Linked DNA regions of Saccharomyces cerevisiae S288C. The gene in region 1 interacts genetically with each later gene. Each region holds a gene or a part of one and is shown on either strand. Other genes may lie near its edges. The genes, in order: AFG1 and YOR105W.

Region 1 (4,077 bases):
AGAATCCCATAGAATAAGTTGCCTGTTAAAACCTTGTCTATATCTACATGTGTTTTGGGAGCAGTTTTGGTACCATTCTAAAAGCATATTAGAGCTTTCTTGGATAAGTTCATTACCAATAGAGGATTCAAATTCAGATGGAGTTTGTGCTGAAAACTCCTTGACATGTAGCAAATAAAATTGGGTATATGAAAATTTACCCAAAACTGTTCTGTCGTCTCTAATGAAAAATAAGGGGAATAAGATCCTTGCAATGACATGCCTTTGTTCCAACTTGTTGAAGAATTTGGCAAACTGGTAGGTCTCCAACGCAGACTCGGCTTTATCTACAAGGAGTATTGTTTTAACATCATTTGCCAGTGTAATAAAGCCGCTGTAATCCGTCGGTAACTTCGTAATCTTCCTGGGAGGGAATTGATTAGACCTGTGCTTTTGTATATATGTTGAGAACGCACCCTTTGGTGGAGACAGCTGTAATTGTGGAAATATGCCATTAACCGAGTTAGCGTTTTCAATTAGCTCATCCAGGTGGCTTGTCTTTGTGGAATAGTCTGTCAGATGGTCTTCTAAGTGGACTAAGCAAATGATAATTTTTAGTATATGCTTCAGCATAGTTAAATGTAAGCTATCATCAGAATATGCCTCTAATATCTGAAGGCTCTCGGTGAGAGAATTGATAACAACATCTTGCCCCGGCAAATTATCGAATGTATTAAACCCCATGTTATTAAAATTTAAATCCTCCTCTTCAAAAACAATACCAGCACTCAAGAGTTTCTGCACAAATTTTGTTAAATAACAAACGCCAAGTATGCAACTTCCTAGTACTTTATCATACAAAATATTCCCTGTACACCAGGACGAACCGGCAGTTGTTCCCTTAACTAATGACGATAATAAGCTTTCTGTATACCTGCAGCTTAATACAGTAGTGGGTAAAGTCTGGTAGTCATTCAGCCAGGAGATAACACATCTAAGTAATCTATCCGCTATGGCTGCTACACTTGCCAACGGTGGATCGTAGGCCACGTTCACATCAAATTCTATTTCTTCTGCTGTCAATTCTATCAGACTGGAGTCTAATTTGGAGTTGTTGACCTCTAAAGAATGTGTACCCTCGAACAAATCAAACCTGGGATCTTTCACGATAGCCTCTGGTTTTAGTTTTGAACACAATTCATCAAACAGACTTGTGACGTCAACCAATTGGTCAAAATCATCAGTTATGCTCAAGGAACCTAATATACTGTCTACTTCCATTCTCGGAAACGTACCAGCTATTATCAAAGTTGCTCTACACTAGCACAGTTGTTTTCAATCTCAGCGCCACTCTTCTTGCTATTGAAGAGCTGCTATTTTACTTGTATCTCTTCGTGAAATTTCACTCCATCTCATAATTATTACCCGAAAACATAACAATGTGAAATAATCGTATTATGTAAAGGTTAGATAATATAACAACTACTAGATAATACAGTACTCTTATTCATTTATTTAGGCACCTGATTCCACTATTACCTATTCAATAGGTGTGCCGAGTTCCTTTGTCTTACGTAATTTTACACATCTTTTATGGGTCATATTTCGATATGTAAGGTAATAACGGGAATCTCCGGATTTACTTTAAAGTGGGAGGGAGAAGTTCCTTTCTTCTGATTTGCGGGTGCTCCGAAAGAACAAAGAATAAATAGGTAAAGCAGTGAAACATAGTATTTGCTGGTTAAAATCATGATCGCTTTGAAGCCCAATGCTGTTCGAACCTTCCGACAAGTGCAGCATTGCAGCTTTCGCATTTGTCGGTATCAATCTACGAAGTCAAATAAGTGTCTGACGCCCTTGCAAGAGTACGACAGACTGGTGAAGTTGGGGAAGCTACGGGATGATACATATCAGCGTGGTATCATCTCTTCCTTAGGGGATTTGTATGATTCACTGGTTAAATATGTACCTCCGGTTGTCAAGACACCCAATGCTGTCGACCAAGTTGGCGGTTGGTTGAATGGTCTTAAATCCGTATTTAGCCGTGGCAAACCTAAGAACATTGGGGCGTATGTGGATGTATCCAAAATTGGTAACTCGATACCTCGAGGAGTTTACCTATATGGAGATGTTGGCTGCGGAAAGACAATGTTGATGGACCTTTTTTATACTACAATTCCCAATCATTTAACAAAAAAGAGAATACATTTTCACCAGTTTATGCAATATGTTCACAAAAGGTCGCATGAAATTGTTAGAGAGCAAAATTTGAAAGAACTAGGTGATGCAAAAGGAAAAGAGATCGATACGGTTCCATTTTTGGCCGCAGAGATTGCAAATAATTCGCATGTTCTTTGTTTTGACGAGTTTCAAGTCACTGACGTGGCAGATGCAATGATATTGAGAAGGCTGATGACTGCCTTACTATCCGATGATTATGGTGTCGTACTTTTCGCAACCTCGAATAGACATCCAGATGAGTTGTATATCAACGGTGTTCAAAGACAATCATTTATTCCTTGTATTGAACTGATAAAGCATAGAACTAAGGTTATCTTCTTGAATTCGCCAACAGATTACCGTAAGATTCCAAGACCTGTGTCCTCAGTTTACTATTTCCCATCCGATACGAGCATAAAATACGCATCAAAGGAATGTAAAACCCGTCGAGAAACTCATATTAAGGAATGGTATAACTATTTCGCACAGGCTTCCCACACCGATGATTCCACTGATTCACACACGGTGCATAAGACATTTTATGATTATCCATTAACTATTTGGGGGAGAGAGTTCAAAGTCCCTAAGTGTACCCCACCTCGAGTCGCGCAGTTTACTTTCAAGCAGTTGTGTGGTGAGCCTTTGGCCGCAGGAGATTACTTGACGTTGGCAAAAAATTTTGAAGCCTTTATAGTGACCGATATTCCATATTTGTCCATTTACGTTCGTGATGAAGTGAGAAGATTTATTACATTTTTAGATGCTGTATATGACAGTGGCGGGAAACTGGCCACTACGGGTGCAGCGGATTTTTCTTCCTTGTTTGTGGAACCTGAACAGATACTTAATGATTTTGAGTTACGCCCAACAACCAAAGAACCTGATAGCGTCGATACTGGTATGGTAGATGAGATGGTTGAGAAACACGGTTTTTCGAAAGAGATTGCCAAGAAATCGCAGATGTTTGCTCTTGATGAAGAAAGATTTGCCTTTGCCCGTGCCTTAAGCAGGCTGTCACAGATGAGCTCCACCGATTGGGTTACTAAGCCTACATACTAAACCCTATGTAACAAAAGTGTTTATTTATATTCTTGTATTTATTCTAAACACGAACTTTGATCGTCTAACAATTGCCGCAGTTACACCTTTAACAATAGTGCTTTTTATTACTGATATTACTCACCTGATTTTTTGTTACCCGAATGCAAATTTGATTAGGAACGGGGATTGTTAAAAGACAATGGCAGTACAGATAAAGGTTAGATGAAGCAGCAGTAGAATAAATCAGCATCTGTAGTACATAGGTTCCTAACAGCATTGTGAAAAAGGTTCAAAAATGTCTGGTAATAGAGAGCAAGTCTTTCCTACGCGTATGACGCTGGGTTTGATGAAGACCAAGTTAAAAGGTGCCAACCAAGGTTATTCTTTACTAAAGCGTAAGTCTGAAGCCCTAACAAAGAGATTCAGAGATATTACCAAAAGAATTGATGATGCTAAGCAAAAGATGGGGAGAGTTATGCAAACTGCTGCCTTTTCCTTGGCCGAAGTTTCCTATGCAACAGGTGAAAACATTGGCTATCAAGTGCAAGAAAGTGTCTCTACTGCAAGATTCAAAGTGAGAGCACGTCAAGAAAACGTTAGTGGTGTGTATTTGTCTCAATTTGAGTCCTACATCGACCCTGAAATTAATGATTTCAGATTAACTGGTTTAGGTAGAGGTGGTCAACAGGTTCAACGAGCCAAGGAAATCTATTCAAGAGCCGTTGAAACTTTAGTTGAATTAGCCTCTTTACAGACTGCATTTATTATTTTGGATGAAGTGATTAAAGTGACGAACAGAAGGGTTAATGCTATCGAACACGTTATTATCCCAAGAAC
Region 2 (2,952 bases), on another chromosome or scaffold:
ATTTTATCCCTTACACTGGTGCAGTTCGGTATTAACTCTGTTTCAATTTTGTATCTTAGTTCTTTGGAGTCCCGTTTGGAACCAATTTTGGTGCATTCCTTTTCCAGCACGCGGGATTGTTCAGCGAATGTCTCAATTAAATTGCTTAATTCCTTCGTTTTTTGATTTGTTGAGAATTGTGGTTCTTGCTGGGAGTTACCCTTTGAAGATTGTGCTTCGATGTCGAAAAAGGACATAATCTCAACTTTCTGCAGTGGATATTAGTTGGCCAATTTGTTAATGCTGATCCCGTGGTTTTTTATTGTTCTATTTTCCTTCCTTTAATCTCCTGGCTGCTTTCTTTACATCAAAATCAAAATTCACTACAAAAATGTATATAGAGTTTTTACTGCGCATCTCGCGAAAAAAAAAGTTGTGATGTGAAACTCGAATATGAGGCTGAACGAATATTATCATTTGATTATAATAAGTATTGACTTGTATGATCTTAGTTTTGCTCTTCCTGTGTCCTCGTCAGCACCTAGGTAAACTATATGTTACAAATAGATCACTTTTATCCTGAGGAAAACAACCTAATTTATTGTACATACTAACTGACCAAGAGGAAGTTCACCATTGACTGCCCTTATTTGCATTTTAAAAGTTGCGGTTTCTGGTGTTACCTGTTAGAAGGCACCTTTTTAGCAACCGGTACAAGGAAAAACTCGTTGGAAGATTTTTTTTTACTTTCCTTTCCGTAAACGCAAGCTCACAGTTATTCCTGAAGAAATTCCTAATTGGTTCTTGCAAAATCTACCAATGAATCCTCTTGATCTTAAAATGTCTGACTGATTATTCAAAAGAAGGGGGAATATATATTTACCTCATTAGTAATATCTATCGCTTTGGTTTGGTTTATATCCCTGATATGATTGATAATTTTCGGTTGGATATGGACTTCTATGATTAGAGGAGGGAGTATTGTAACTGTTTCCCTGGAGGTTATTATTGATGTTATTATTATCGTAATAATAGTTCTCGCCATAATCGCTGATGTCAAAAATTGGAGATTGTGAAGCAACATGAGCGTTGTTGCTACCAGTATTGGCCGCATTTTGGATAAACGAATTTCTAGCATCATATTGCGGCTGAGGGCTGCTACCTTCGAAATTTTCTTCTTCATACACTAGAGGGGCCACCCTACTAGGGCTGCGTCCTTCTTTATTTCTTTCCTTCTGTTGTTTTTTCCTTGTTTTCTCTTTTTGTTTTTCCAAATCGAAATCTTCCTCTAATTCATACACCTCATTACTGGGAGTTTTGACTTCGTCGTAAAATGTATCATTCTTCGCATCGTTTCTATAATACGCACTTTCAGGTTGTTGAATAGGCTGATAAATCACAGTAGAAGGAGGAGCCACGCCCATATTAACTCTACTAAAACCCTCATTTACCGGCATTGTATTGTTTCCATTTCTGTCATTAGAACAACGACAACACCAACAAATGAACTGACCTATTCCTGTTACCCCTTGCCTGAAACATGTCAGTAAGCCCCCAATCAACCAAATCACAAGAATACAGGCCAAAACAATACCAACAATCGCAATAATTTTACATGCTTTATTGTCCATGCAGGTGTCCCAGCTTCGGAAACTTTTTCCTGTACTTACTACACCATCTGTAAAGGACGATCTCGGAAATAGTGGTACTATTTCTTTCAACTTGCAAACGTTCATTACTGTGTATACGCTTGGGAGTCTTTGATTATATTTCTAGTATTTTCTTGAAACGGTTATTTTGCTAAAAATAAACAAGATAAAAAAAATCTAAAAAGTCACGACCGGGGGTGGTTATTCTTGATCTAAGTAGCAAATATGTAATATATTTGAAACTTTCTTGCGCCCCTTTAATTTTGAAGTTCTTCTAGGCTTTTATCCAGTTCTAGAGTAGAAGTTGCGGTTCCAGTAGATCTTGAAGCTTTTTCGAGATGCATCATTTATATTTTTCCCCATTTGGTTATAAGAGAAGAGGCATTTTCCTACAACGAAAAATAAGCATAAAAAGGGCCACGTTCGTAGCAAAAAAAAGCTAAGACTGATACTTTGTAGCAAGAAACTGAATGAAAAACTGGGATTTTCATTTTAATTATTTACAGTAAAAGAATTTATCAAAGCTGTTTCATTTGGGCAGCGCAACGGGGACTTTTTTACCAGCCATTAAGACTTAGATGACGAAAAAAACACGCGTATACGCCAGCCAATTGAGGATCCTAACCAATTCATCACACTGGAAATAACGAGTCGATAGAAGCTTGTTGGTTCTATTTGGCGAGTACTTGGTCCTCTGCTATTTGCACTTGTGTCGTAAGTGCAATGATTGGGTGTATATCGCTATTAGAAAAAATCCCGGTGAGGGCAAAAATAGAGAATAACGTGTTTTAAAGGATGAAAAAGATACAATAGAATCTGCGTGAACGCTATACTTCATAACGCTATCACACAACAAAAAGAATTGTAACGAGGAATACATGACTAATATGGCAAAAGCACCAAAGGCAAACACACCAAAAGTAACCAGCACGTCATCTGCAGTCTTAACAGATTTTCAAGAAACTTTCAAGACTTCTAAGAGGGCATATTTTGCCCAAATTGAAAAATATCCTAAACTGAAACTAATTGATACATTCTGCTTCTTTTTGGTATTATTAGGGGTGATCCAGTGTACATTCATTATCTTGATCCGTGATAATTTTCCATTCAATGCGTTTTTAGCGGGATTCATTATTTGTGTGGGACAATTCGTCCTATTGATGAGTTTGCGGTTACAATTGTGTAATAGTTTTCCAGGCATTTCTAAAAACAGAGCTTTTGCCGAGTTTATTGTTGCTAGTTTGATTTTACATTTCGTTTGTTTACATTTTATAAATTGAGGAAGGGTTTGCCGGCGTGCTTGCATGCATGCTTGTATGTGTAT

The links.
Region 2: mutations in AFG1 (region 1) and YOR105W together harm fitness more than expected from each alone (negative genetic interaction), as found in Saccharomyces cerevisiae (one large-scale study listed by BioGRID).

What each region holds. Positions count from the first base shown.
Region 1 is NC_001137.3:54,843-58,919, forward strand, and holds AFG1 (Afg1p), read left to right. Parts: upstream 1-1,728; coding exon 1,729-3,258; downstream 3,259-4,077. Other genes in the region: MAK10 (Mak10p), read right to left, coding at 1-1,260; VMA8 (H(+)-transporting V1 sector ATPase subunit D), read left to right, coding at 3,536-4,077.
Region 2 is NC_001147.6:516,405-519,356, reverse strand, and holds YOR105W (uncharacterized protein), read right to left. Parts: upstream 1,163-2,952; coding exon 836-1,162; downstream 1-835. Other genes in the region: SNAP receptor VAM3, read right to left, coding at 1-236; PIN2 (Pin2p), read right to left, coding at 867-1,715; OST2 (dolichyl-diphosphooligosaccharide-protein glycotransferase), read left to right, coding at 2,516-2,908.